Nothobranchius furzeri: one gene and its partner. The protein of the gene in region 1 interacts with the protein of each later gene in a pairwise test. Links are inferred from orthologs where the notes say so. Each region holds a gene or a part of one and is shown in the gene's direction. Other genes may lie near its edges. The genes, in order: fez1 and pam16.

Evidence for each region.
Region 2: the proteins of fez1 (region 1) and pam16 interact in a two-hybrid assay, tested with the Homo sapiens proteins (2 studies listed by BioGRID and IntAct). The link is inferred for Nothobranchius furzeri from reciprocal best matches to the Homo sapiens genes FEZ1 and PAM16.

The regions. Positions count from the first base shown.
Region 1 is NC_091750.1:44,549,919-44,566,169, reverse strand, and holds the end of fez1 (fasciculation and elongation protein zeta-1), read left to right. Parts: intron 1-2,593; 5' UTR 2,594-2,620; coding exon 2,621-2,949; intron 2,950-4,766; coding exon 4,767-4,854; intron 4,855-5,774; coding exon 5,775-5,858; intron 5,859-7,243; coding exon 7,244-7,409; intron 7,410-8,482; coding exon 8,483-8,796; intron 8,797-11,847; coding exon 11,848-11,928; intron 11,929-14,220; coding exon 14,221-14,296; intron 14,297-14,380; coding exon 14,381-14,446; intron 14,447-14,539; coding exon 14,540-14,556; 3' UTR 14,557-14,748; downstream 14,749-16,251. UniProt on the Homo sapiens protein: May be involved in axonal outgrowth as component of the network of molecules that regulate cellular morphology and axon guidance machinery.
Region 2 is NC_091752.1:57,757,068-57,772,627, reverse strand, and holds pam16 (mitochondrial import inner membrane translocase subunit tim16), read left to right. Parts: upstream 1-4,249; 5' UTR 4,250-4,371; coding exon 4,372-4,374; intron 4,375-4,644; coding exon 4,645-4,729; intron 4,730-4,798; coding exon 4,799-4,935; intron 4,936-8,468; coding exon 8,469-8,534; intron 8,535-9,404; coding exon 9,405-9,491; 3' UTR 9,492-9,558; downstream 9,559-15,560. Other genes in the region: zinc finger protein GLIS2b, read right to left, coding at 13,436-14,157, 14,231-14,349, 14,435-14,568, 14,648-14,803. UniProt on the Homo sapiens protein: Regulates ATP-dependent protein translocation into the mitochondrial matrix. Inhibits DNAJC19 stimulation of HSPA9/Mortalin ATPase activity.

The DNA.
Region 1 (16,251 bases):
TAGTAGTAGCACATTAAATGTCAAAGAAAGTAACATGTTTCTTTGGTTTGTTCTTGCTGTGTTGCATTTCTAACAGCACTTCTGGTTCTTTTTTAAACATAGAAAATGTTTCTCTTTACCTTGCTGACAGTTTCGTTCGCGGCTGCAAACACCCTCAGAGCTGATGCTGATGGTGGCCCTCCCCTCTCCGATGATGCAGTCCCATGCACGATCCAAAGTGTAAACCCCATCGTCTCTGATCATGGTCCCACATCCACGTCTCCTTATCTCTATTGCTTCCTTTATCCATCTTTTGTATTTCTGTTGTTCGGTGTTTATGATCCTTGTATTGTCCCAGTCCATTACATGGTTTTCTCTTGTGCAGTGATCTGTTACGGCTGACTTCTTTATTGTGCTTTCTGCTTCTTGTTTTGCTGCTCTTGTGTGTCTTCGACTTGTGATACTCTATTTAAATATAGAATATCACCCAGCTTGGTCTTTCTGTGCTTATCAGAAGATCTAGGATTCTTTAATTATTAGGGGATTGTAAACACTTTGTTTTGATTCAGAAAAGAGTCAGGTTTATAAAAGTAATAATTTATTTTACAAACCATTAAAACATGACAAGTTAACTAACATTTACTGTGATGGATGGAACTAAAGGTGATGTATGAACCTATGTGTGAATGATGTGTTAGTCAGAACTCCCTTATCGAGCTGAGTTCTGGATGTAAAAGAATTTGGTTTGCGTTAAGCTATGAAGTTGATTATTATCAAAAGCACACCAGATGCTATCTGTGTGTCTACTTCACCCGTTCTCGGAGACCCTCTTGGTGGATCCGAAGGTCAGAGAGGTCGGCTGAGCTCTGGAACCGAAGGGCTGTAGAATACCGTGGCACCGACTCTTCGGTCCAGAGATGTCTCGGGTCATGACAGACGGATGGAACCGCGCTTCTGGGACTCTTAAGGAGTCTAAACAATATCAGCTTGTTCTGCAGGAACTGTGTATCAGCTCCGCAGGTGCAAAAAGATTTTGACAACGTGTCAAAATCTTTGATGGTTAAAGAGGGGTTTGCTTCAGATGGCCGGCCTGAAGCTTCTCTAGAACTGCTGAATCACCAGAGTGATCCAGTTTTAATGTTCTCATGTTATGATTTGCGTAGCCAACCAAAGGTTGACAAGTTGAGAAATGGTTACTAAGACAACCTCAGAAACATGCCTTCTTTGATACAAATGCTCTGATCTGGGGTAAAAGACTATTTATGTGTCATGGGTTTAACTTAACCTTACTTTGTCCTTGTGTGAGTGCAAGTGGTGATGACCTCATCATATCAACATGCTGAAACATATTTCAATCACTGTAATCATAACATAACATTCATTTCACACTTCAATCCTTGAGCACAGATTAATGAAACAATTCATTATATTATAATTATTATAAGTAGCAATAAACAAATGTTTATTTAATGATTATCTAACTTGTAGGTTGTAGAAGTTCATATTTAATTTAGTAAATCATTCTTTGATTTAGCAACTGATCCGAGCTGGAGTGTTCCTTATATGGAGGCATGAAGACCTGAAAGATTGGACCTTGAGGAGAGAATGTTATTGTTGACATTTCATTATCTGAGTTTAGAGCTGCAGAGACTCTGAGCTCCAGCTGGTGGGATGGAGGCAGGCCAGTTTAAAGGGAACACATGCAGTCTTGTGTCTCCTTTTTGACCAGACGTTGAATAGGTGTTGAATGGTCAAACTGTACCTAAAAACTGACCATTGCTGGACGTTACAGTGTTTAAAAAAAAAGAACCAACAATGCAGTTAAAGTAAAAACTTATCATCAGGAGAGGGAGAATGTTTAAATGGTTAGCAGCAGTGTTCAAGCCGATGGCCCCCTCCATGAGGCCACCACAGCTCAGCGGAACATCATTGTAGCTTCTTCTGGGGAGAAAAACACTTAGAGAGAAAATTAAGTTAACAGCTGAAATAGCAGGAAATAATACAGTTAAAGAGCAAATTGTAGAAGAAAGTAGTCGAGTGTGGAAAGTGGTCAGTGTGTCCTCCAGCAGTCTAAGCCTATAGCAGCATAACTACAGAGATAACCCTGGATAACCTAGCCTTTTAGATGGTGGCATGTTGGAGGTAGTACAAGGGAGAGCCGTCTCCAGTGTCCTGTTCTATGTCCTATAATGCTTTTGTGTGACCTGTCTAGGGACTGTGGATGTAAATTAACATTTCTGCTATAATTTGGCATGTTCCGTTAATATTCCATTAATGGATTTCCATTAGTCCATTAATATTTAGTAAGATTATCTTTAATGCACACTGTCCCTAAGTAAATGAATGAATGAAAATCATGCAGAACTGCAGTTAAAGGAAGAAGCACCTTATCATGGCATCCAATGTTAATTTCCCTGAGAGCGGGGTGGGGTCATGGAGCAAAAGTCAGTCATGAACATCAGGACTTTATGCTTTTGAACAACCAGTGCAAGATTTCCAAAATTTCTCTCTGACAATTAAAACCCTCACCAAACCTGAGCATCACAGGGATGTGCCTACTCTTGTTCTACTTGTTTCTGTGACTCAGTCAACCCACTTTCATTGTTCTGTGCAGGGTCTAGACAACAAACTGAGGCGAGACATGATGGAAGCCCCTATTGTGTGCTTGGATGAGGAGTTTGAAGACCTCCGACCCTGTCGGATGGATGAGCTGGACCATCTTGCTCTCAACCACTCCTCTTACTCTTCCACCACCACGGTCCCTCTCCTCCCCATCAACCGTGAAGACTTCTCAGAGCTAGAAAACTTTTCTGAGATGATGAGCTTCAAATCAATGGAGGACCTGGTCAATCAGTTTGACGAGAAGCTCAATGTCTGCTTCCACAACTACAACACCAAGACGGAGGGCTTGGCTCCCATTCGCAGTCAGTCCCACAACCAGGAGGATGAGGAGCAGCTGCAGGATGAAGAGTTAGTGACCCCCTATCTAAAATCTATTTTACATTAATCTACAGCCATTTATACATTATATTGTATACCGCTACGTATTTATGTTGATTCATGGTCATCAGAGGAAATTTGGTTAGACTAACTGAGATTTGATTTGGTCAGATTTGGGCTTATGAGAATTTGATGCTTTACGTGCAGTGTTCCCAATTCCTCCATACAGAAGTAGTCATTGGCTGCCTCAAATATTCCTAAATGATGTCACCTTATTTAGAAAGTCGCCATGTTTTGTAATGTACACTGTAAAACAAGAGAACATCATGGGAGATGAACCAAGTCAGGAAATTAAGTTTAGAAAGGGATTTTTGAATTTTAGTGTCACGTTTAATCAGCCAGTTGCAACTTTACACATAGTTTATTTGCTTTCTGATCATGGAGGGATTAAGATATCTTCACTTTGGCTGTTGTGTGCATACTTGGGTGTTTGTGAGTGCACTAGGGTAGGAGAGGGACTCCAATAACCCAAAAGTGGTGCTAAATTTACTGGCAGCTAAAGGCACCCTAAGGAACTTTGTCATATTGATGGTTTTGAGAAATCGAATGGTCACACAGGACGCGCCGCTGAGCGCTTCTTGGAAAGTGATAGTCACAACATCAAGCGGGACTTGAGAATAGGAAGCGGAAAGGGAGTCTATCGTTTAGACGTGATCAGACTTGTCTTCGTGTTTTGTGAGACTCTAATTTATTAACAGTGGGTAAGTACGTTATTTATTAAAATATTTTAAGATTAATAGTACTTTAAAGTTTTCAAACCTGCGGCTGGGTTTGTGCTGTAAAACTGCTCCAGCGTCGTAATGTCTGTTGTAAAGTACTCCACAATGTTGTAAACAGCTGTGCCGCGGCGCTGAAGATAGAGCCAGCGCCTATCTTCAGCGCCTCGGCGCGGCGCTTCTTGGACACGGTGCAGCGCTCCCCATGTGCCCACTCCCATGAGCTAAAATGGCTTTTATTAAAAATTACAGCGCGGGTGCGCCGTGGCGCGTCCGCCTCTGGTGTGCCCCAGGCCTTATGGTACAAGCTGAAGTCAAAGGTTATCTCCTAGCCAATAGCAGATGCAAATTCTAATACAGTGCAGAGTTTTTACCTGAAGAGGGTGCGAGACTGACAGTTTTAGACAGTTGGAGGAGCCAGTTGAGGTGCCTCGGGCATCGGGCCTCTTAGACGCCTCCCTGGTGAGGTTTTTCGGTCACGTCCAACCGGGAGGAGACCCAAGGGAAGACCCAGGACACGCTGGAGGGACTTTGTCTCTTGGCTGGCCAGGTAACGCCTTGGGATTCGCACGGAAGAACTGGCCCAAGTAGCTGGGGAGAGGGAAGTCTGGGCGTCTCGGCTTAGGCTGCTGCCCCCATGACCCGATTCCTGATAAGTGGCTGAAAATGAATGGATGGATATTTAAATTTGAACTAAGATGCACTAAATTGCAAAATTATTGATTACAAGTGTCTACAGCAAAAAAAAAAAAAAAAAATTCTGGGGTGACTTGCACTTTAAATAGAGATTAAATAGTGTTGCAGTTTAGCCAAACCAAGACCTCAAAACAGTAGGAAGAAAACAATTTAAACAGAAAGGCTCAGAGACAAAGGTGACTCACTTTTAACTTGAAGATGAAGATAGAAGCTTTTTACTTTTCTTTGCACTGACATGAACTAGTAAACATCACTCATTCATGTTTATCCTGTTAAAAAAAACTTTCTGACTGCTCAATTTACAATAGTGGCTTCATTCTTGTTAGTTTGGCCCCTGCCTCCCTTAATGTGATTTATGCTTGTATCGTGCCACAGTGTGTGGGGCGCCCTAACTGACAACTACATCTCCACATGGGACAGCCCCAACTCTGATGGACACAATGGAAATCTTTCAGACGAGGAGGTAAATGCCACCCCTTCTTTTTATTTGTTTCAAGATAGCAATAAAAACACTTGCTATTGTCCTGTTTGAGCATAGCGATTAGATTAGATTAATATTTTCATGTTCATGTTCTGAGGAATGCCACCATTGCTGGACTAACTGTAAAGGGGCATATTATGACTTTATTTTATAAAGCCATCGGTGTGTACAAAAATGGTTGTAAATTCTTTACGATTTGTCCAGATTTGCAAGATTTCACCAGCTTTAGTCTTGACATTTTCAGTACCTTCCAGAATGAGCCATTTCAGGACTCCCTTACAAGCTGTTGCTGGTCACATCCACCTTTTTGCTCAATAAAAAATGACACCCAATGGTTATCCTAATTACATAACTAATTCCAGTATGGTGTGCAGTGACATACCTCACCGTGATTTATAGCCTTTCCTCAATAGTATGTTTTTACACCAGGAATTGTTCAAGATGTTCCAATGGCACGACGTTTTATTGTGTATATTTACTGTATGTCCCCTCCCTACCAAAATTAATTAAAACTACAGCTAAACTCAAAACATCTAGGCTATTTTTGTCTAATTGCTTGAACATTAAGCTTAATGTTACTATTGTGAAAGTAAACTCACCCCTTTAATCCCTCTCACACATACAAATATAGTCATAGTGTAAAAGTCACATTAGTCATCATCACACACAGGTTAAATTACATTTCCACATTTGACCCATCCCCATGGGGAGCGGTGAGCTGCAGCAGTGGCCGCGCTCATGTTTAACCCCCCAATCCCTTAGGGCTGAGTGTCATGCAGGGAGTGTGAGTAGATACGACCCAACTGGATTTGAACCCTGATCTCAGTCTCAGGCAGACACCGATACCACCAGGCCACTGAGAAGTTTCCTGGATGTGAGTTATTTCCTCTCTCACTATTTAGATTCAAGAAAAACAGGAGGAGATGAATGTGAAGAATGAGAAAGTCAACTGCCTGAATGAAGAACCTCTCATCACAGCAGATCAGGTCAGTATGACCCCCCTCACTCTCACTATTTGAGCCTGATGAATCCTGGCATTGTCATCCAGGAATACGCCCGTGTCATCAGGGAAGATGGAATAACCTGGTTATTCAGGATATTCAGGTAGTCAGCTGACCTCATTCTTGGAGCACATCCTGTTGCTAACCCTAAACCTGACCAACTGCAGCAACCCCAGATCATAACACTGCCCCCACAGGCTTGTACAGTAGGCCCTAGGCATGATGGGTGCATCTCTTTATCTGCCTTTTTTCTTACCCTGATGCACCATCACTCTGGAACAGGGTCCACCTGGACTCATCAGACCAGATTTTAATAATGCGTTGGACAGTTCTTAACCCAGTTTTAGTCATATCTGCATCTCCTTAGATGTTTTCTCTGCTTGATGCATGCCAGTGATCTGACCCTTCTCACACAGACTCACATATTTTCCACGACCACGGTTGTTTAAGAAATAAGAAGAAACTCATTGCACCACTTGGGGCTAAATTATTGGTTGCAGCGGAAAGATAGTCGCCTATGCAGTAATTATCCAACCTCAGTAATTTGGAAACGGCCTTGGTGACAGGGTAAGGGAGTAGAGGGAACGGAGTAGATGACAGACTGGAAGTAGTCCATCAACAGAGAAGTCATGTCATGGCGGGTGCTGTCAAGTTCAGCGGTACACAGAGTGATGAACAAAGTGCATCGTTGTGATTTATAGTTGACAGCATAGCTCTGTATTTAAACTTGGGTTTAGCATGCTGGGTCATTACCTTTTCCAATCAGAAAGTTTCTCATTCACATGTTGGAGTTTGTGTGTAAGTTCAACAATGAACAGAGCAGTTTGACAAATAAGTTTCTTCCTGGAAACGTGTTTTGTCTTCCAGAAACCAAAGCTGATCTCAAGTACTTGAGCAGCCTTCTCCTGTGCTCTGAGCTCAACTGCTGTGCTCATCATGTCTGGCTTCCTGTAAAATGGACTGAATGCTGGAATAGGCTCCACCCATAAACAAAATCAATGCTGAGCTCCCACTCACGTGAACTTCCATGGAGAAACTGTGTACTTATTTTACTTTGTGTTGTACTTTACTCTCAAACTCAAAACATTGCTTTTTTGAGACTTTCTTCACTTATTTGAAAGTAATTCCATCTAACAAGATTAACCTGCTGACAGACAGTACGCCGCGGTGTTGTTGGAGCAGCTCAGACATCCATCGTCTGTGCAGACATTAATAATGGATTTAACTCTGACATCCACCGCTACAGAGGAAGCTTTTAGCATTCTTGTGGCTCCTGACATATGGACACTACAAACTTATCTGTCTTACAGATTTCTCCCATCAGTTTTGTGTCCATCCTTAGATTTCCTCTGTCTCTCTCTTTCCTATAGGTGATTGAGGAGATCGTGGAGATGATGGAGAACTCACCAGATCCTGTTGAAACAGAGGAAGATGATGATGAGGAGAGCAGCCACTGCTCCTCCAGGATTAACCCCTCCTTGATAGAGGAGATTAGACAGCTGTCAGAAGCTTCCAACAACAACTGCTCCCATGAAGGTCAATCACAATAATTATGTTTTGTTGTTCATGTTGTTGGCTCAATAATTTTTTTTTACGAAAAAAAAAATTACACTTTTTTAAAATGTATATGTTTACTTCTATGAAGTTTTCAGAAATAGAAACTCTGGCCATTAAATAACAAATTTTTTGTGTCCACTTTTTCTCATCTGACGTAAGATAACCAGCATCATGCGTTTCTATTCCTTTTAACTTTTCACTCTCTTTTTTAATAGTTTTAAATAATTTTTAAAAGTTTTACTGTGCTTGTGAAGTTTGACCCGAGCTTTCCGCTAGATGCGTAAGCGGTGCGTAGCACAATAGACGTGCTTTCACCGGGAACTCGCAGGGGCGTCTCATCCCACTGGGACCACTCAGGTGTGAAGATGTGTTCGATGCAGCTAGTCCTGGAAGGTCACATGATAACATGCCAGGAGAAAGATGGCAGCATGTTCCCACAAGTTCCATGGTGAATTTTCTGAGCCACAGAGGCCACGTATCTTTTTATCCAGTTAAGCAATAGGAAATCTAAGTGTGTCTTTTATTTTGAAAGTTGCAGGATATTTTACACTACTGCCATGTTTCATTTCCTCTCTACCCAATCAGAACTGCTTAGCTTGATGCATTCTGGAAGCATAACACATAAAACATAGACATAAATGTAAAGTTAGTGGAGCAACGTGACATTACTCTTCGTCCAAGATGCCCTGCTTTGCAGCCGGTGAAAACAAACAGTCAGTGCCTTGATGCAATTTGCTGGGTTCCTTATATAGGAAACATTATTTCTGATTGGCTTAATGAACTGACCTGAATAGGAATGTTTATTATGCGAAGTGCCTTGAGACGACTCTTGACGTGATTTGGCGCTATATAAATAAAATTGAATTGAATTGAACTGAACAAACCCATCGACTATAACGGTGGCTAAAAGCTACTTATTGGGCCAGTGAGTGTGAGACTGGTTGTGGTCCTGCTGTAGAACTCTAAAAGTGTCAGATTGTTTACCCTGGTTCCTGATTCCTGTTACAGACTCACTAATTTCCTTTTCATTGCTTGTTTAATCCATCCTGTAGGTCTGAGTTTGATGTCTGATCCATCACTTGCTGAGCTGCTGCAGCGGGTGGAGTCTGCTATCTGTGAGTACTCAGAGGAGCTGGTCAACCAACTGGCACGTCGAGATGAGCTGGAGTTTGAAAAAGAGGTGAAGAACACATTCATAACAGCACTAATGGAGGTGCAGAACAGGCAGAAGGAGCAACGAGAGAGCGGAAAACGCAGATGTCAAAACAAGACCCTCAGCCTGCAAGGGGCAGGAACAGGGTCCACCAACGGGGGGAGCTGTGGATTGACTGGAGGCTCAGAGAAGACAAGCACCATGCCTGTCAAGGTGGGACAATAGATGAAAAATATCATATTGATTCCACAATGATGAAGCAGCTTTTAGTTTTCATTTCATTTCCATCTCTACAATCATCTCCATCATCTTCACTCCCATCTCCTCCCACAAGTACCTGAGGGAGATAAAGGTGTGGAAAGAACACAAAGAACACAACTTTCTCTTACTAATGAACACCAAAGCCATTATGTTTGGCTACTCTAACCAGACTCAGGCAGCATCCATAACCACCATTTCTGTATGAGCCATAGAATCAGGTGTAAAAGTAGAGTCCAATCTCAACTATAAAATATATAAATAAAGGGCAAGACTGCCTTCTACTGCCTCCACCACCAGGGGCAGCATAAGTGGTACCAATCCGTTCCTTTGACTCAATGCTGCTTTGCGCATCAGTCTTACATACATTGCTTTGTGTGTGTGTGTGTGTGTCCATCATGGTGCCCTTGCATTGGCTTCCGGTGTGTTACTGGGCTCAGTTTAAAATCCCATCCTATGTTTACAAGGCCTATCTAACAGCTCTGCTAAACAGATACACTCCGTCTCATGCACTTCGGTCAGCTGGGCTAGAATTGTTCACTGTCCCATGGACCATGTGTAAAACACAGTGGCGGGAGGTGCGTTCCACCCCTGGGCCGTCAGTGATTTCCTATTCAGTCCAATCTAAACGAATGCACCTTAAAATACCATCAATATGACATCACAGCTGGAGAATCCTTACAGAATCACACACACACACACACACACACACACACACACACACACACACACACACACACACACACACACACACACACACACACACACACACACACACACACAGGCACGCACACGCACACGCATGCACACACACACCAGTGGCTGGTCAAGACACTTAATTTCCGGAGCCTTTAAAATCAAACTCGCATTCACAATTGGGAGTAGGAAACTAAGACCACGGATACTGTCAAATCTCAAAAATGAAAGACGGGTTTAAGAGATGAGTCACTAAAATAAATAAGTTAAGCAAACACATTATTTGCATTTGTTTTGGAGAAAATGGCACAGCGAAACAATTGAACATGTTGGCGCAGGAGGGTGCCTTTTCCTTAACTTTAGTCTGCACCCTGTTTAGTCCAGATGCCATCACCGCTGCGCCATCGTAACACTGTGCAACAACTTTGTCCAAACAGCATTCATATTCCTCAAGATTACGGAAAATAAGTGTGTCAAGTTTATCAGCTCGCCTGCCACTAGTTACATCCACAAATTTGACTAAATGCTCCGTGACACCTGCGGCTGTGCAGGACGAGTGCCAGCTGTGCCATGTTTCTCACGTCGGTGTTTCATCAACCATCACGGTGACAAAAGGGGCTCTTCTGATCTCCATTTTCATCTCATCTTCCATCACTTCAGCAATAGCATAAATGAGGTTGTTTTGTATTCTGCCTGATGTCCCAGTAAAGACCCTGATGGTGGACAGGTGGTAATGCAAGTCAGCGTCATGTCCCCTAAATGAAAGTTCCTGTTTACCCAAAAGCATGACACAATCCATCAGCCTTTTCAAAATCTCCCTATTTTTCTTTACCTTTTCGTTGTGGAGCTCCGTGTCCCTGCGCGCCTGTTTGCTGAGCTGCAGATCCACTCGGGTGTCCCCAAAGGTTTTTAAAAGCATCGTAGCTTGTATGTGCCCAGCCGTGCTTTGTTGCCTTGGTGAAACAACTTAAATTGGCAAACCCAGTAAATCTCCAAATACCAAATCGATCTGATGCGAGCAACAGGCATTCCCAGTAGAATAACTTGCAGCGGCTCTCTGAAGCTGTTAGCCACGGGTACCGTTCATAGTTGCTTGCCTGAAAATGTCGAACAAGTCCTTTCCCCTGCTGGGACAAGCCAGCTTGCATTGGAGTCAGATGACCTGCTCTCACAAGATCCACTTTTACTTGAAAGGTCCGTCTTGAAAATGGTGTGGCAAGTAAATTTACAACCAAGTCTGTCCCTTCTCCTATTTCAGCCATCAGGTGTTCAAAAATACATGATGGCTGTCTATAGATACAAATCTCTGTGTTTAGTTTTGATATTTTGCTTAATGGAGCTAGAAAAGTTCAAACTACCGCTTATCCAATCACAGGATGCGTTCATGTCAAGTTTTGCGTGGGCCACGCTGACTCGTGAGCTGATTAGCTATCGCAACTGGATTGTCTCTGTTCACTTGCAGTGGACAGTGGACTGCTCGGTTGATGCTGAAGGCCTAGGGCAGACTTAATCTGCCTGAAAACAAAAGCTGAAATCTGATTGGATAATACCCAACCTTGATATTTTAACACTGGAAGCAGCGCAACCAAGTGGGTATAATAGGATATAAAGAAAATAGACCAGTGAAAATTTTTTGATTTAAAAATATTTACCAAAGGAAAAAATACATTTACGTTTTTGAGGAAGTTTAGGCCAGCAGAGAAGGCTTTGCTGGCCCTGACTGCCCACCGCTGGTAAAACGAGGTGAGCAGGTCTCTGTGATGGCTGCCTCACTAGGGACCAGTCTGCTGATGGCTGATAGGCAAGCGCTGTTACTGCAATCATTTAAGAGTCAACTGATGACTTGTTTTTATACGTTAGCTTGATACCCATGAGGTATTCACATTTTCTCTAACAAGTAGAAAGCAGTCGAGAATTAGGTAACTCCAGTACTTGTTCAGGTTGCTCCATTTTATGTCTGGCGTTTCTTCTTCTCTGTTGGTGTTCTCAGTTGACTGAGGCACATTTTCTTAGATTGACAACTCCCTCGTGTGGCTTTGCAAACCAACCCTCTACTGTAGGCTTGCATAAATTATTCATTTTGCTGTAGAGGCCATAATAGGGACTTTAGGGGAATAAAAAAGATGAAAGGTCATCTACTTTGTATCAGAACAAAGTAACATAGTCAAATTTAAGCATTTTTAATTTACTTTAAAAATATGAAGCTACGCACCCCATGTATGGGAAAGCCATTTTACCCCCCACCCCCCGATGAAAAACATGGACAATTCAGAATAAACGTTTTTGTTTGCTTCTTGTTTTACCTTGTAGCGTTTCAGCATGGAGGGCCTGTCCAACATTCTGCAGACTGGCATTAGACAGACCTTTGGAGTCCCGGGAACAGAGAAGCAGGTAAGTTCCAAAACACGTTAAATCTGCTATTTAGCGACTCTGCAAACAAGCTAGGTTTTGAATGCAAACACTGTCATGGAACACTCACCCCTATTCTCAGGTATCTTCCCTGGTTCTACCCAAATTAGAAAGCTGCACTGCTGTGCATAACCAGATAATGCTAAACACCAGCTGCCATTTGCAACGTTCAAACGTCTTTTGTTGTCCTTGACTTCAAATGGCGTTTTTCTTCTTGGGACTCGGGTAGTTTGTCCTAAAGTTGAAGTGGTAGCAGCCAGCTGTTTCTCCTTCTCTCATGTTATTGGGCGGAGAACCTCTCATGCCAGTGGTGTTCTGTTACAAGAGAAGAGTTTGAGTTCTGAGGTGTAGCAGGCCCGAGAAGCTTGAGACCAGATGGATGAGGCTGGAGGTGTGAGGGATAGGAGGCACGTGAGGTTAGAGGTCTGATGGGCTAAAAGCTTTTAGAGCTCATGGACTGAGGGACTAGAGAGAAATATTCAAAGCTAATGTGTCTCTGACTTGGATTATGTAGAAGCAGAGGGCTGATAGAAGTGTGGGTCCACTGGGATTCACACTGGGAACACCGCAGGGTCTAAGGTAGTTTAGAGGTGAGGCTTTTAAAAACTCCCAGCCTGGTTCATTACTCAAAACCGCCATCATGGGTAAGACTGCCAACCTGACTGCTGTCCAGAAGGCCATCACTGACACCCTCAAGCAAGAGGGTAAGACACAGAAAGAAATGTCTGAATGAATAGGCTGTTCCCAGAGTGCTGTATCAAGGCATTTCAGTGGGAAGTCTGTGGGAAGGAAAAAAGTGTGGCAGAAAAGAAAATGCTGCACAACAAGAAGAGGTGACCAGACCCTGAGGAAGATTGTGGAGAAGGACCAATTCCAGACCCTAGGCGACCTGCGGAAGCTGTGGACCGATTCTGGAGTAGAAACATCCAGAGCCACCATGTACAGGCGTGTACAGGAAATGGGCTACAGGTGCCGCATTCCCCAGGTCAAGCCACTTTTGAACCAGAAACAGCGGCAGAAGCGCCTGACCTGGGCTACAGAGAAGCAGCACTGGACTGTTGCTCAGTGGTCCAAAGTACTTTTTTTCTGATGAAAGCAAATTTTGCATGTCATTCAGAAATCAAGGTGCCAGAGTCTAGGAAGACTGGGCAGAGGGAAATGCCAAAATGCCTGAAGTCCAGTGCCAAGTACCCACAGTCAGTGATGGTCTGGGGTGCCATGTCAGCTGCTGGTGTTGGTCCACTGTGTTTTATCAAGGGCAGGGTCAATGCAGCTAGCCATCAGGAGATTTTGGAGCACTTCATGCTTCCATCTGCTGAAAAGCTTTATGGAGATGAAGATTTCATTTTTCAGCACGACCTGGCGCCTGCTCACAGCGCCAAAACCACTGGTAACTGGTTTACTGACCATGGTATTACTGTGCTCAATTGGTCTGCCAACTCTCCTGACCTGAACCCCATGGAGAATCTGTGGAATATTGCGAAGAGAAAGTTGAGAGATGCAAGACCCGACACTCTGGATGAGCTTAAGGCCGCTATCGAAGCATCCTGGGCCTCCATAACACCTCAGCAGTGCCACAGGCTGATTGCCTCCATGCCATGCCCCACTGAAGCAGACATTTCTGCAAAAGGATTCCCGACCAAGTATTGAGTGCATAACTGAACATAATTATTTGAAGGTTGACTTTTTTTGTACTAAAAACACTTTTCTTTTATTGGTCGGGTAAAATATGCTAATTTTTTGAGATAGGAATTTGAGGTTTTCATGAGCTGTATGCCAAAATCATCAATATTAGAAACAATAAAAGGCTTGAACTACTTCAGTTGTGTGTAATGAATCTAATATATATGAAAGTCTAATGTTTATCAGTACATTACAGACAATAATGAACTTTATCACAATATGCTAATTTTTTGAGAAGGACTTGTATTACTCTAATAATGAAAAGAGTTATTATTAAATTGCTTTCTCTTTGTATTTATATATTTATTTACATAAAAACAAATTTCATGTATTATTATTATTACTTTATTTAATTTTTATTAATTTTAATTGTGTTATTATTATTTACTGTGTATTCATTAACAAGAAACCTGCAGAGTTTTCTCTGCAGAATTTTACCACGACCTGGATGCCTGGATGTTTTTCCACACAAACACGCTGTGACACCTGACGCTAACACTTTATACACGCGTAATTTGATCTCTCATAGCCTTTCTGTTTTACAGCCCTGTATGGCTTTGGCGGTAAATGTGATTTGTTTTTGTTTCCCAGTATCTAAACACTGTGATTCCATATGAGAAGAAAGCCATCCCTCCATCTGTTGATGACCTGCAGGTGCTCACAAAAAGTAAGCCTCTAACTGATTTGTTGTTTAGTTTCTTCTTTTTGTGAGAAAGTGTAAAGTCACTGAGTGACCTGCCCTTCTGTGTAGTTCTCTATGCTATGAAGGAGGACAGCGAGAAGGTGCCCACACTGCTGACTGATTACATATTAAAAGGTAAACTTCACATTTGGTGATATTCCCTTTGATTAAATTCAGATGTTCAACAAATCTTCCTACTGAAGAAGATGCTGTTGTGTTCCTTTCCAGTCCTCTGCCCAACTTGAAGTACCGCCAGACCAAGGGTTGCATTGTGGCTGCGAATTCCTACCTTCAACCAAACTCACCTCTGGCGCAGCCTGCATGAGCTCCGAATGTTTTCCAACCATCCACACCATCAGCATCATTTATTTGCCCATCACCTTACAGCCCTTTCTTGCTGAGCTCCTCTGTTCCAACATTCCCGACACAAACCACACTCGGAAATGGCTCCCAACTGGTGAAACGGCACATTTCCACTTTTACAGGACTTCACTACCGGATCCTTTTGGTGCAGCGATACTGTGTTATCAATGTTAAAACTTTGCTTTATTTAGTGCTGCTACATGTTGACAGTAGTTCCTGGGCGTGGGCTAAAAGGAGATTCTGACCAGAGTTCAAATGTTGCTGTATTATGACAACGATCTAACGAGAATCACAATTTAATATGTCATTACAAAATCAGAAAAGCAAACATAGTTATTTAAATGCTGTTGTCTTCGTCTTCGTCTTCGTCTTCCTCCGCTTATCCGGGTCCGGGTCGCGGGGGCAGCATCCCAACTAGGGAGCTCCAGGCCGTCCTCTCCCCGGCCTTGTCCACCAGCTCCTCCGGCAGGACCCCAAGGCGTTCCCGGACCAGATTGGAGATGTAACCTCTCCAACGTGTCCTGGGTAAACCCGGGGGCCTTCTGCCGGCAGGACATGCCCGAAACACCTCCCCGGGGAGGCGTCCAGGAGGCATCCTGACCAGATGCCCAAACCACCTCAACTGGCTCCTTTCGATCCGGAGGAGCAGCGGTTCTACTCCGAGTCCCTCCCGAATGTCCGAGCTCCTCACCCTATCTCTAAGGCTGAGCCCGGCCACCCTACGGAGGAAACTCATTTCGGCCGCTTGTATCCGCGATCTCGTTCTTTCGGTCATTACCCAAAGCTCATGACCATAGGTGAGGATTGGGACGTAGATCGACCGGTAAATCGAGAGCCTGGCTTTCTGGCTCAGCTCCCTCTTCCCCACGACAGATCGGCTCAGCGTCCGCATCACTGCAGACGCCGAACCAATCCGCCTGTCGATCTCCCGATCCCTCCTACCCTCACTCGTGAACAAGACCCCGAGATACTTAAACTCCTCCACTTGAGGTAGGACCTCTCCCCCGACCCGGAGGTGGCAAGCCACCCTTTTCCGGTCGAGAACCATGGTCTCAGATTTGGAGGTGCTGATCCTCATCCCAGCCGCTTCACATTCGGCCGCGAACCTACCCAGCAAGAGCTGAAGGTCAGAGCTGGATGAAGCTAGGAGGACCACATCATCCGCAAAAAGCAGAGACGAGATTCTCCTGCCACCAAACTCGACACACTCCACACCACGGCTGCGTCTAGAAATTCTGTCCATAAAAGTGATGAACAGAACCGGTGACAAAGGGCAGCCCTGGCGGAGTCCAACCCTCACTGGGAACAGGTCCGACTTACTACCGGCTATGCGGACCAAACTCACGCTCCTCTGGTAAAGGGACTGAATGGCCCTTAACAGAAAGCCACCCACCCCATACTCCTGGAGCGTCCCCCACAGGGTGCCCCTGGGGACACGGTCATAAGCCTTCTCCAAATCCACAAAGCACAAGTGGATTGGTTGGGCAAACTCCCATGCCCCCTCCATCACCCTTGCAAGGGTATAGAGCTGGTCCACAGTTCCACGGCCAGGACGAAAACCACATTGCTCCTCCTCT
Region 2 (15,560 bases), on another chromosome or scaffold:
AGCTAGGTGGCAGCAGTTTTTACCACCTCCTAATAACGCTGAATGTGTTAGAAACGTCTGACCTGTTCAGTCAAAAATAGCAAATATTGTCTGACTTTTAGTATCACAATATATTCTGTCCTCGCTCTTGTATTTAAATTTTTATTGCATTGCCAGATTCCTGCAGATACACACCCCTAAATATTAGCAATATTTATAATTATGTACACACATTTACGGTTCTGAGATGACTACCCTCACTGTCACATGACATGACTAAAGAAATGTGCATCATGGTAAATGTCCTGTATTTGTATAGCGCCTCCTAAGGGTTCTGCAACCCCCCAAGGCGCTTCACAACACACCCATTCACACACACGCTGGTGGGGGTGAGCTACATTGTAACCACAGCTGCCCTGGGGCTTTCCAAACACTGGCGCCATCGGTCCTCCCGACCACCATCAGCAGGCAAGGCAGGTTAAGTGTCTTGCTCAAGGACACAACAGCAGCTTTCTCTGGTCAGAGCCAGGATCGAACCTACAACCCTCCGATTTACTGGACAACCCACTCTACCTCCTGAGCTGCTGCTGCCCCACCCACCTCACCCTCTGAAACTGATACACAAACGGCAACAAGATGGAAAAATGTCTCGGTTGTTAATATCTGCCCAGCTTGATTTGTCGAACCGATATAGATGCCGATATGTCGAGCATTCCCTAGTTAACAGTCTTGTCTTAAAGTGGATTAACTCTGATGTTTGTTTACAAAACAAACTTTGTGGGGATTTCTGCATCTTTGTTTTTTTACACGTTACATTATTTTTTATTTTTTAACGGTTTTCCTGGATTATGATGTTTGCTGTAACACCACAACAACCATGTTAGACTGAGTAAATCACCCCCTCTTCTTCTGCTCTCCCCGTCATTCAGGATGATTAGAGACGACGGCGTCTGGAGTCGGGGTCAGTCCTGCTGCCGACATCAAACAACTCAAGTGTTTTGTCGCCATTCCCAGAAATCCTCTGAGCTCCAGCAACAATGGCACTTCAACCAATTCACAACAGAACAATTATATGTAAGACTATAGAAAAAAGAATTCATTCTGACTAGTTGTTGATTAACATCATTTAACGGTTAATCAGACGTAGTTAAACAAAGATGTTAGTAAAACAATCACATGAAAGCATTGAAATCATGAACATGTTATGCATTAAAGTCAGTTGGATGGTGATCGCACCAACAGCCCTCCTCTTTCTGACACATAACTGGACGAGTTTTTCATTATTGTGTACAACGATTCACTTCCTCTGGTGGCCATCCTGGTATTCTGAACCATCCACGTGCTCAGAGTTAAAGTATCTTTCCGGAGTTTTCCCCTTTCAGAAATTATGATTTGTCAGAAATCCGTAAAAGTGATTATCTTATCATGTACTGTGATATAATGTAAGCAATACATCTTTTTTTTTCTGCTAAGCACGCCCCCTGCCCCGCAGAGCTCCGTGCAATAGGAAACTGAGTGCTGACCAGAACTATCCAATAGTGTTAGACTACCGCTTACTTGCGTCAAATTTAAGGAATACCTCGGCTGATGCGGACTTGATGAACTTTTCACGGACAAGAAAGTCTCTAAAATATAAATATATGAGAACACAACATGACATGAGAATAATACTAGTTAAACAACGTGTTTTAGCTGTTTGTCAGCTACAGAAGCACATTTATAAACAAGAAACGTGAAGTCGCCATCTTTAAAAAAACGGAAGGAGTGTGATATGCTTGTCAGCCACTAGATGGTGCCATCGGATAAGAGAAATACTCCGGAAAGAAGCTTTAATTATCGCTCTGATTTATTTCAGATTCAGACACAGCCGTGTCTTCCTGTTTGGTCAGATTAAAAACATTTAAGCTTCAGGTACAAAACCTCCTCTGATGAAACTAGGGGCGCCTCCAGAAAATTTTGATGGGGTGGCCAGATGGGGCCAAAGACATTTTTGGAGTGGCGCACCAAATTGATCATTGTGGTAACTCTGGTTGAATTTAGTCTGTGGCGATGTGCTGCATTGCGCCTTTGTTCTTTTTTATTAAAATAACATACGTATCCAAAACATTTAACTTAAATTTTACAAACATAAACTTTTTAGAAAAACACATTTCAGTTATTTAAAATGTTATCCCAAATTTTAGTTTTAAATGTATTTTTTTGTTTAATTCACCTGTTGCTGTGTTCACACAAAAAACTGGAGATAAATTTTTTTTAAATGGTGAGCAGCAGAAACATATGTATTTTTTTATTCTGATTATTTCCTTACTCATTAATTGTAATATTTTTATTTTGTTTTACAATCATATCTTGAATAAACTAGATAAATATATGGTTTGACTGAATATTAATATGATTTGTCAACACTGGCTTCTCCTGGGGGGGCTTGCAATTTTCTAGCCACCCCATGCCACCCCTTGGGGGCGTCCTTGGATGAAACAACAGGGTCATCTGTGTTCATGTTTCAACTGGAATTTTAAAAGTTAACATCATGTTTTTTTACAAGCCAAATCTGAAATGCCATTTTATCAGGATTATGTCGTGTTTTAGTCCGAGTTAGATTTTAATCTTTGTTCTTCCAGGAATAGACGTCAGGAAGAGGTAAAATAATCCATTGTGAGTTTCTAAGGAGATCTTTTATACTTCAAGAATGAGTTTTGTTTTTGTTTACTGGCTGCTTTTAACTTTTATTGTGGGATTTCACTAAACCATTTGGTTTTCTCTGACTGCTGGAATGTGGTGAGAAACAAACAGTACAGTGTTCTTAACTTCCATCATGTAGTCGTCACTCAGGGCTGCAGCAATAAGACCAGAGACCCACGGATGACCCGGCTTTTGTTTACATTCTCTTAAGAACTGGATCAATCCGGTTGGGCCAGCCGTGTGACAGGTGCCACGTGAGTTTATTTGGTGTTGACTGTACGTACTTGTGATGCTCAGAAATTGTTGTATTTGGATTGGAGTTACTTGCCTTCAATTGTGTGTTTTTATAAAGTGATTTGTTTTATGTTTCCTGTCTTTCTAGTGTAATGATTTGTGGACTTTTTCTAAATCTTCTAGCAATAAACACAATATGAACTCTGCTCCTATTGCTTCAGTGTAATTAACATGACAGCTACACACACACACTACCTTATACATTATTAAATAAAGCAATATTAGAAACAAATGTATAAGAATAATACCATACCACTTTAATAAGGCGTATTTTCCCACAGCGTGTCAGCTGCCCAACGCGCAGTACAACAAGGGTCATGAAAAAAAAATTAGAGACCAATAAAAAACTAAAAACACTGTGTGTGTGTGTGGGGGGGGCAAAACCAGTCATAATGAAATGTAAGAAGTTCACAGGTTAAAAACAACCAAACACTAAAACCGTCATAAGAAAGCCAGGGCACAGAAGTCGGCTTTTAGCTTTGCTGCCACAGGAGACGCCTGTTGTACCTCTAGCGGCAGGACACTCCATGTACTGGAGTTGCATACAGAAAGGCACGTTCACCCCTTTTCCTTTATCTCTTTTCGAGTGCAAACATAGACTGTACAAAGCAGCAGATGGTAATGAATATTTCCTTAACATGGTGTGGAGTAAGCATTTCAATAATTAATTACCTTTTTTTTATACGTTTTAGATTCTTACGTATCTGAAAGTGTCACCATTAAGTTTGTTTTGTTCTTTAGGATTTGGATTCATGTATGGTGGTCAGCTATTCATTTATTGGACAAATTAATCAGAATCTTTTTAAGAAACAGATCTACATGGTATCAGTTTGAGAAAACTTATAGGAAGTCAGCCATCAGGTTTGATCAAAGTTTTGTAAGACAGCATGATGTTTTGTTAAATGTGCAGATGCTTTATATAACTGGATCAAACCTCAGATTCCAGCTTACTGCACCTTTGTTGTGCTGCACGGTGGCGCGGTTGGTAGCGCTGAAGTTCACAGGTTCAAATCCCTCTCGCCCAGTGACACCAACTCCCCGCAACCCCTAATGAGGATGAAGCGGTTCAGATGAGAAAGATGGATCAGTTTTTAATTGTTTATTTTTTTTTATTATGTATAATTTTAGAATTGTTTATCTCTATGAAGTATTTTTGAGTCTTTTGTTTTACATACTTTCATCTTTTCTAATTTTCGTAACAACTGTTTTACAAGCAGAGCACAGGTGACCTTAGAAGCATCAGGCTGCAGTTAGACTTCCTCGCCAGCAGGTGTCGCTGTCTTAATAGTCACACCAAGACGGCCAGTCTTGAATTCGTAATGTTGCTTGAACTTTGACCTCCTTCGGTAACCTTCAGTACCCATGTGTGAATACAAGACTGTCGTCTTCCGCGGAGGCTAAGTATTATATTTAAAAATGGTAAGGTCACGTTTATGTGTTCTCGTTTATAGTCTGTTGTTGAAACTGAAACGTGAACAGAAGCTGTTGTTTTGAGATTAATTCGTGGTTTGCTGCAGCGCTAGCTTCATTATCTGATCAGATTTGGTTTTTAAATGTCAGAATATTAGCTGAGTGTCTCTAACGCGCTAGTCGTGTTGGGGTATTCAGCCTGAGTGCGACGTAACCATTAATGACATCCAGTCTATAAACTACCAGCCACGCGCCTCCTTTTGTCTTTATCTCATTCAGGCCAAGTATCTGGCTCAGATCATAGTGATGGGAGTCCAGGTGGTGGGCAGAGCCTTTGCCCGTGCTTTACAACAGGAATATGCAGGTACGACCCGTCATTGCTCGCGCGCATTTGTGTGTGTAATCATGTAGAACTTTGTATCTCCTCCATCAGCCAGTCAAGCAGCAGCTCGGGCCAGAGGTCGGACAGGTCAGCAGTCAGCTGCAGCCTCCAGCATCTCTGGGATGAGTCTACAGGAGGCTCAGCAGATCCTCAACATCTCCACTCTCAGTCCTGAGGAGATCCAGAAGGTACACACATTCTCTCTCTCTCTCTCTCACACACACACACACACACACACACTGGTGGCATTTTTTAGAAGCTCTCTGAGCGTGCTCTGTAATATTTAGTGAGAAATTTATTTATTTTAGTCTTGTTTTTATCCACTCATCATAGGTTGCATTTGAGAAAAGGATTCAACATTCATATACGTTCTTTAATGAACTAAATTAAAGTTTGTGTCCTCTCCTTCTGTTTGACCTTTTCTGATGAGCATCTAAAGACGTTTCTCAGCAGAAGAAACCACAATATTGCCGTTCATGACTATAATGATCCAAATGCTGATGGCATCCTAACCCTATCAAACTGTCCACTTAGGAAGCAACACTGCTGTTGTGCAAATGGAAAAGACAACAGGTGGAAATTATTAGCACTTCACCTGTAAGACATCTCCAATGAAGAAGTGGTCCTGCAGGCGGTGATCACAGAGCACAGGTTTTCGTAGAGCTCATTCTACTGAAACAGCTCTTCTTAGGGTCTCTAATGACCTTCTGGCTCACAGTGATGCAGGGGACTGTTCTGTTCTGGTCCTGCTGGACCTGACTGCAGCCTTTGAAACAGTTGACCATCACCTGCTTCTGGAGAGGCTGAGAGACTGGATAGGCCTATCAGGATCTGCTCTGGAGTGGTTCTCCTCTTATCTTTCTGAGCGCTCCTTTTCTGTGGCCATCTCCAAGTTTAGGTCCTCCACCACCTCTCTTACCCATGGTGTCCCACAAGGTTCTGTGCTGGGGCCTCTACTCTTCCTCCTCTATCTGCTCCCTCTTCAGCACATCCTGAGCTTCTTCAAAGGAATCTCCTACCATCTTTATGCAGATGACATCCAACTGTACATCTCCTTTAAGCCCCATGAGATGTCTAAGCTGCAGCTGTTACACACCTGCTTAGACTCTTATCAAAACCTGGATGGCTGGGAGCTTTCTACAGCTGAATGAAGATAAGACTGAGATCCACATCTGTGCTCCAGACAAGCTGGTTCCCAAAGTCAGAGACTCTCTTGGTCTGCTTGCTTCTCACACCAAACCTTCCGTCAGGAATCTTGGTGTGACCTTTGACCCAGCTCTCCCCCTGGACTCTCATGTCAGTTATCTTGTTCGCTCTTCCTTCTTCCATCTCAGGAACATTGCTAAGCTGAGTCCCATTCTGTCCCGTTCTGAACTTGAGACAGTTATCCACACCTTCATCTCCTCATGCTTAGACTACTGTAACTCTCTTTTCACGTGTCTGAGCAGAACCTCCCTGAACCGTCTACAGGTGGTTCAGAATGCCTGTGCTCGGCTTCTGACCAAGTCCTCCAAACACACCCACATCACCCCGCTTCTCCTCCAGCTTCACTGGCTGCCAGTCAACTTCAGGGTTCATTTCAAGATCCTGGTTCTGGTCTATAGGGCCTTACATGGACAAGCACCATCTTATATTGGTGATCTTCTTAGTCACTACACCCCCAGCAGGTCCCTGAGGTCCAGTGATCAAAGCCTACTGGTTGTGCAGCACCAGGCTAAAGACCAAAGGTGACAGATCATTTGCTGCTGTGGCCCCCAGACTCTGGAACTCTCTCCCCCTGAGCCTGAGATCAGTGGACTCAGTGGTCTCCTTTAAAAAGCAGCTGAAGACTCACTTGTTCAAGCTGGCTTTTGTGTGACCTTCTTCACCACTCTCTCTTTATTCTTTTCTCCCCACCTATTCCACCTTCCTCAGGATCCACTGATTTCCCTCTTTCCTATTCACTCTCTCTCTCTCTCTTAACATTTTTTAATCACAATTGTCTATTTTTTGCTCATTTTAAATATATTTTTAACCATTTTCTAAATTCTTTTTTATATTTTTACATTTTTTGTTTTTGTGAAGTGCCTCGTGATTTTTATCTTGAGAGGCGCTATAGAAAAGATATTTTCTTCTTCTTCACTTTTCAGTTCCTCTGCTTTCTGACTGATATTTTGGTCCCTTTTGAATGCTGGTGGTGCTTTCACTGTAGTGGTGGCATGAGGAGTCTGCAGCTCACACATGTGGCTCAGGTAGTGCAGCTCATCCAGGATGGCTCATCAGTGTGAGCTGTGGCCAGTAGACAGGCCAGCGCATCAGGAGGTGTGGAGGAGGCCGTAGGAGGGCAACAACCCAGCAGCAGGACTGCTACCTCCACCTTTGTGCAAGGATGAACAGGAGCAGTACTCCTTGTTATGCTCTTTCTGTTTCTTTTCTATTCGTGTTGATTTTTTGTTCTTGTCTAAGTCACAGATTAGCAAAGCTTTTATTTAATTTTGCTGACAGTTTCGGCTACTTCTGACGTCCACAGGTGGGGGTTGTGCTTACAGCCCAACACCGTGCATTAGCTACAGAACACCAAGATTGGCAAATTCACCACTGACACCCTTACTCTTCACAGATGAAAGCAGGATCACACTGAGCGCATATGACAGAGTCTGGAGACGCTGTGGAGAGCGTTCTGCGTCCTGCAACATCCTCCTGCTTGATTGGTTTGGTAGCGGGTCAGTAATGGTGTGGGGCGGTAATTCTTTTGGGGACAGCACAGCCCTCCATGTGCTCGCCAGAGGTAGCCTGACTGCCATTAGGTACTGAGCTGAGACCCTCAGAACCCTTGTGAGACCATGTGCTGGTGTGGTTGGCCCTGGGTTCCTCCTAATGCAACACAATGCTAGAACTCATGTGGCTGGAGTGTGTCAGCAGTTCCTGCAAGACGAGGGCATTGATGCTATGGACAGGCCCGCCTGTTCCTCAGACCTGAATCCCACTGAGCACATCTGGGACATCATGTCTCGCTCCATCCAGCAACGCCGCGTTGCACCACAGACTGTCCAGGAGTTGGTGGGTGCTTAAGTCCAGGTCTGGGAGGAGGTCCCTCAAGAGATCATCCACCACCTCATCAGGAGCATGTGTAGGCGTTGTAGGGAGGTCACGTGGAGAACACACACATACACACACACTACTGAGCCTCATCTTGACCTGTCGCAGGACCAGCCTGTGGTTTGTTTTTACACTTAACTGTTAAGAGTGACTCCAAATCCATCCCATAGATGGTTTTTGTGTTGCCAGCACATCCAGCTATGTAAAGAAAAAGTGTTTAATAAGAATATTTCATTCATTCCGATCTAGGGTGTCTTGTGTTTGTGTTCCCTTTATTTTTTGAGTGTGTTACTGAATTATGTGAACATTTTAGGAGCTTTGCTCCGTGTTCTATTGGTGATGTTTGACTTCACAGGATTGCGTTCATGAACCAGTTTTTCCTTAGATGGGTGGTCCATGGTCAAAGGTCAAAGGGTTTATTTAGTTATTTGACATTTGCCACCAAATGATTTAAGTGAATGTCTGACTGTAGAAACCTTAGTGTGTGTGTGTGTGTGTGTGTGTGTGTGTGTAGCATTTAAAATATTTTATGAAGTTACATAATATTGCTGAGGTCTGTAATTCTGCATACAGAGATGTAGGAGTGTGCATGTTTAAAGCAGTGGTTACGTTACTTGAATTCTGATGTTTTTATGTCCTCCAGAACTATGAGCACCTGTTTAAAGTCAATGACAAGTCAGCGGGCGGGTCGTTCTACCTCCAGTCTAAAGTAAGTGGCCCTTACCTTCAGGCTGCACAGGTGCAACCCTCTGTAGCATTAACCTGCTCATGGGGTAATACTGAAGCCTTGGATACTTTTGGACTCTATTATAACTGAATTTTAGAAAGTAAACTCCTAACTTTGCTTCCCTTTCAGTCTAAAACTTGAGATTTTCTGGAACTTTTTCACTGTTGAATCAACTTATTTTGTCTGGATGATCCGTTTAAATTTGGACTAAATCCAGTTGTTGCTAATCTTCCTGTTGGTGTGATGACAGCAGGAGTTTGTGTTTCTGCGGGTTTTACAACATCTCTCGTTACAGAAGGATGTTTTTCTGTTAAATGTTTAGATGTCACAAAGCTTTCAGTCCCTGACTCTGAAACAAAGGAACCCGGATGTGTGATTCCTCAAAACGTTGCTGCCTTTAGAAGAAAAACCCCTTGGGGGTTTTTTTGCTGCAGAGCAAATTCACGAATGTAAAAAATGTCTGATTGTGCGTTAGTGGATCAAAATACGAGCCGTGGTTGTTTTCTCAATGATGTGGTTGTGTGTTTATAATCTATTCACAAGTCTTTCCATCTGCCGTTAGACTTGTGAATAGATTATAAACACACAACCATGCTCGTCTTCTGTACTTGACATAACGTCACGTTATCGGCCATATTACCATTACCCGCCTTTTTTATAGCAAAGTTTTATGCTAGTTTATTATATTTTATTTTACTTTATTCTACTTTATTCTATTTTTAATTATATTATTCATGTTATATGTAGCACGTTAGTATCGAAGCAAGTTCCTAGTTTGTGAATTGTTTGTTCACTGACGATGGCAATAAACCTTTTCTGATTCTGATTCTGATGTCTCCCATTTGTGTTCAGGTGGTCCGAGCCAAAGAGCGTCTGGAGGAGGAGCTGAATATTCAGACACAAGAACAGAAACAGTCGCAGCAGAACTCAGAAACATGAGTCATTAGCCCCCACCCCACCCCCCATCCTCTGTAAATTATAACCCAATAAAGCCCTCTCCTTCCTAGTGCTCGTGTCTGAGTCCTGGTTTCTCTCTTTTTATCCAATATCCTTACGTGTTGGACTGAAACGCTGCTCTGCTTTGTGCTCCTAACTTCTGTTGGAACAAAAATGGAAGCAGACTTATCAAATGCAACTTTATTAAACATTTGTTGTTTTCATTGACATTTTTTCTTATATCAATATCGTAATAAAATTCCTCTAGAACAGGAGAACGCTGCTGTGTTGTACCAACTGGAGACTTTACAACTCTAAAATTCTGCATGTTCAACACCGGAACATGGTTCAGGAAAAATATAGTTTCGTATGGTTCTTTTATTATAGTGTAGAACTTTTATATTTACCTATAGTAAAAAGGCACTTGGAAAAATAAAAATACTGACATAATATCTCACAAATGTGCAAAAACATGAGCTGAACAAGCCTTGAATGGCCCTGGTCTCGTCATTAACCCTTTGTGCAACACTGTGGCACTTCCAACACCGGTCACCTCTGGCCTCCCAGTGTCCCGGATCTTGGCTCTGCTTCTTGTAACATTGAGTTTGGGTTGCTTTAACATCTCCAGGAGCACGTACCACTCATATAACATGAAATCAAAAAGGAAAAATTATTTCAATGTAGTCATGTTGAGCAAAGTTTTCACAATTGTTCATATTTCCCAAACAACTGATCGTAGATGCAGATTAAACAACAACAAAGACAGCATCCCCATATCCATAGTCTACACGGGGAGGGAAAGTGCAGTTTCATTACAGACTGAGCTCAAAGGGTTAATGGGGCGTGCTGCTTAGTTAACATTGAACTGGTGTGGACCCAGTTTGGATCCGTGTCATTCTGCAGGTTTCTGCTGCCGGGCTGAGTCTCTGTCCCTGGCGTCGGCCAGCAGAGGAGGAAGAGGGGAGCCGCCTCATCCGTGGGTTTCACTGTTGCCATGGAGACCATGTCTGGCTTGGCTAACGCCTGCTCCTGGTGACATCACATGCCAGGCTGGTCCATTCAGAGACAAATGACTCTTTTCAGTAGCTGACCTGAAGCCGCTGTGTGTGTGTGTGTGTGTGTGTGTGTGTGTGTGTGTGTGTGTGTGTGTGTGTGTGTGTGTGTGTGTGTGTGTGTGTGTGTGTGTGTGTGTGTGTGTGTGTGTGTGTGTGTGTGTGTGTGTGTGTGTGTGTGTGTGTGTGTGTGTGTGTCCTGAATGCAACATTAAATTACATTCATGAGTTTATCTTTCTGCATCAAAGTTTAGTTTGCAGGTGAGAACTGAGCGTGAGGTTTGGTCTACAGAGAAGATCGGAGAGCAGGAGGAGGTCAGTGGCCTAGTTTCCTGCGTGCTGGTTTGAGAGCGGCTGCCACACTGGGCACCGGGCAGCCATCGACTTCAGAGAGGAGCGTTTTCTGGGTAGGTGGCCAGATGGAGAGCAGCAGCAAAGGATGAACCCCCCCCACCCCCCCGTCCTGGCTCCCAGCCCCGGCTCTCCTGTATTCCTGTCCTTCATCCACTCACTCATTCAGCCATTCTCTTTGCTCTCGCACTCCTCCAGCTCAGCCATACGATTCACAGTTGGAGGTCACCTCTCTACGTTAACCCGTCTGCATTTGTGAAACCGTGTAAAATAGCTATTGAAGATCTCCATTACGCTCACACTTTAAAAGTAGTGAACTAACGTGATTGTCAGGAGGGAATATGGTGTCATTGGACCCGCTGGATCACATTTGTCTCTCAGAGCAGTGGTTCCAACTGGGCTTGCGCCTTCTGAAGATACCACTTATTTATGGCCTTCAGAACTGTAGAAAATGTCCCCCAGTATGCTTTTTGTCGTGGTAAATATCAAACAGTACCCTAGGTGTGTGAATTTTGAGACATTTTAGGATATTTTTACATGAGGAGTCTCTGATTCAACAAATGTTTCTCAAAATTTTCAGTATTTCCAACATGAATCTAGTTTCTAAATAAGTTTAGATTGTTTTTTCTTTTTCAAACACACCCAGTTACGTTTTAAATGTACACTGGCCTTTTGTGTTCTATCATTAAAATGTAATCATTTGTTGTGCTTTTTGACTTAGCTCAGCGGCTAACAGGTTCCTACGAAAACAAACCAGATGAATGTCTGCAGAAATCTGAACGGAGGCCCAAAATACTTCAAAACAGGTAATAAATTCTCATGGAAAAAATTTTGTTAGCTATTTGACATTTTGTTTTTTCTCTGGAGTCCACACTTCAGGTTAGGATCCACTGCTCTGGACTCACTCACACACACACACACACACTCACTCCCTGACTTAAACCCCTCTAAAGACCCGACAGCAGAAAGCTGATGCAGAGCAGCCAAAACTCAGGAAGCGATATCAACATCACAAGAAAATGTCTCGTCTGAGCAAATAAAAATACGACAGAAATATAAAACAGTGACAGGTGGGTGAATCGCCCTTCAGACGGGGAGAATCAGAACATGATCACAGGAGGAGTAAAGGAGCGTCTTTTCAGGAGAGTGTTCTTTGTTTAGAAACCCTCCTCCGCTGCCCCCGTCCTCCCTCGCGTGGACACGGCAGCGATATGTGCAGAAAAGTCAAATAACAGCAAATCACTGTTTAAAATAGAAACAGGAATCCAAAGGGAGGTTTTCTAAACTCTGATAAGTGCAGGTCGACTGTTTGATCAGACCGTGACAAGACGTTCCCCACGAGAGCTTTAAAAATCTTTCTTTGCCCCTTCGGACAGATTAAAATGAGGCAGTTTGTCAGTGTGGCGTCCTGTGACTAGTCCGGCCGTAAGCAGCACAGAGCGCCCCCTCCAGGTTTTTTTAGTCACAAGATCTCATCTAAACTAGACCACCTGTGTCTGGTTTTGGGGTCATTTCAGTCGTGAAACCACTAAAGGCAGTGGTGCTTCTCACCACCTGGGTTTTACGTCTAAACTGGTTGACCGTACAGGATGTTGTTGATCACGTCCGGCCAGAGGGGGGAGTCAAACGCACCAGTGCTTTACATTTCACTTGTGTAAAAAAAGGAGAAGCAATAATTGGTCACTGTCAGGTGGTGGAACACCGTCTGTCTGTTAGTTAGGTCTAAACCCTAAAAGCCCCTAGTCTGCACACACCTGTGGACTAGTCTGGTCTGTGTCGGTCACCCTCCCCAAACCGGGGACAGATTGTCGAAAGAAAAGTGCTCGTTCCCAGTTTGTGTTGCACTGGGGGAGCAGAGAGGTTAGCAGCAGTTTTGAGGTTTCAATACTTTAACCAGCTGACACCATTAAGTGCTCTTGTTAACGCTGAGCTGCCTTCCGAACAGATAGGACAGCCTGAGTTCACTTGCTTTGGTTCGGCAAGCTTGTCTGAATTATATCGCACAGAAACCTGTGAAAAATAACTTTAAAGATGAAAAACCTTCCTATGAGTGCTTCAGTCGTGGTGTTTGTGTCTCACTGCTGAGCTGGAGGCACCTTGTCAAAGTACAGTCACATAAATATGTAAGATTAGGAACACAGAGCACTGAGACGGCCGCGTTTGCGGTCCTCGTCCACAGAACCACCAGGAATGGATGAAGTATCAGACAAGAGGAGCCTGTTCCTAAGGCCTTGTGATGATTACAGGGCCCTACGTGTTCCTGGATTCACTTCCTGGGTCCCAAGTTTAGTTCTCCAACAGTCCGAGGGGAGTGTGTTGGATAGGTTAGGGTGTGAGGTTCGGAGTTATCTTCTTGATGCACGGCCACAAGTCGATTGTTCCACCCGACCTCCTGCTGTCCCACGATGGCATGGACCCTCCCCTCCAACCCCCTGAGCTCTTCTGGAATGTGTGTGTGTGCGTGCATCTATGCATGTGTGTGTGTGTGTGCGTGCATCTGTGCATATGTGTGTGTGTGTGTGTGTGTGTGTGTGTGTGTGTGTGTCAGTTAACCACAGCTGGCTTGAGCACCACAGCGCCTGGAGGGATGACCACCCAGGACAGGGGATCATGAGACCCCCCTGTGGAGAGGTTTAGGACCCCCCCACTTAGCTCGTCCTCTCCTTCCTCTCCTCCGCCTCTCTTCAGCTGGTGGCTCTGTGCCCGGCGCTCGGATGTGGGCCCCATCATCGGAACCATGGGCAGGCTGAGGGGAGATGGGAATGCATGGGACAGCAAAGGAGCCTTGGCCAGACCCAGAGGGGAGCCGCTGAAGGACAGGATGGGTGGAGGGGAGTTGGGGCTACCCAGAGTGCTGAGGTCCAGGGGCCTCGGGCTGAGGGGTGACAAGGGCAGAGCACCACCCAGGCCTTGCAGGGCGTGGCCTCCCAGGAGAGCAGCTGTTGCTCCAGGAATGATAATGTGGGCTCCGTTCATGTAGGACAACTCTGGATCTTTAGCACCACCGCTAGCTAGCCCCCCACTCTGACTCCCCTTCAGCATAGAGCCCACCCCACCTGGGGAGCCCTGCTCCTGTGCCACAAAGTGGCCGTGGGCTTTGATGTGCTTCCTCAGTGAGCTGGGATCCGTGTAGCGCTTCAGGCAGCCTACCATCTTGCAGTAGTAGGGCTTGTCTACGTAGTGTGTGCGCGTGTGTTTGAAGCGGTCGCTGGAATTGGAGTAGCGCTTGTTGCAGCCCTCATAAGGACAAATGTAGGGCTTCTCACCTGCAGTGACGACACATTTACCACATCAAACCCTTACACGTGCAACAAGGTCTTCTCTGGGCTGAGCTCTGACCTGTGTGTGAGCGGTTGTGTATCTTGAGGTTCTCCAGGCGCGAGAAGCTCTTGTTGCAGGTGGGACAGCGGTGAGGCTTCTCGTTGGTGTGGGTGCGAATGTGAATGAGCATTTTGTACCTTCAGACACAAGCACACACACACAAAAGACTACTTTATCACGTTTTTTATTCGTCACACAAATCCAGATGAAAGATGTTCTCACCGAGCGTTGAACCCCCTCCCTCTGCGAGCGCAGCCCTCCCAGTGACAGCAGTACCCAGAATCCTTCTCCGGTTTGACGTGAAAGTCATTGACGTGGTCCACGAGGTCTTGCAGGGAGTCAAATAGCAAATGGCACTGAAGGAGGGAAACAGTTTCAAACGAACAATTTGATCCTTAGCTGCTCTAATGTCATGGTTTAGTTCCTGAGTCGAACCTTCTTCCAGCGGCAGGCGAGTTGTTCGTCTGCAGAAAGGTCAGGAGAGGCTCTCTTATCGCTTGTTTGGCCTATGAACATGGAGGATGGCAGGTGAAGTCCTGCTCCAGGTCCGATTGGCACAAAGAACTGAAACGCCTGTGAGAGGTGAGGATTCTTAAAGGAGCAAGACACAAAAAGAGCACAGAGAGTTAATCAGACCTTAAAATTCTGAGATGAAGAAGAAAGTGAACGCTCAAGTGTGTCTGGCTTTGGAAAACAATAAAAACCTCCTCAAACGAAGCTGCTCACTCCTCAAAACAGACCATCAGCTCAATAACAGGTAACGATTAACCGAATGAGACACAAACAAAAGAGGAGCTTCTTCCTGCTAAAGTGTAGATTTTCATCTCGCTCTTCAAAAATCCTCTCCATTTTCCTTCGAGTAGGTTCCCGCTGTGCGCTACAAAACCTCACTACGTCCCTCAGCTCGGCTGTAAGGTTCAAAGAACCTCCGCGGGGCTCAGAGAGCTGAAGCACACACACACACACACACACACACACACACACACACAATGAAACATAAAACTCGAGTTCAAGACATAAAGTGGGGAGCACAAAAGGAGAGAGACAAAGAGAGCAAATTTCATGAAACGAGACCGATCCCCTCCACTGAGGGAATCGTGTAGCCTATTTCTACGCATAAATTCTGCTGTGTAAGACGTTTGGAGGGATAAAGGAGGAGTATTGTGATATTGTGTCCAGTCAGTGTCAATATAGGGTATGAGTGTGCAGCTGAGGGGCCGGGGGAGGGAGGGAGGCTGAATAGCCTTAGCAAGCATGTCTCAATTCAATTGCATGGGAATTGAATTAGGCAACATGAGGTCTGCATGGCCGTAGTGGGTCCTAAATCTGATTAGACACACACACACAC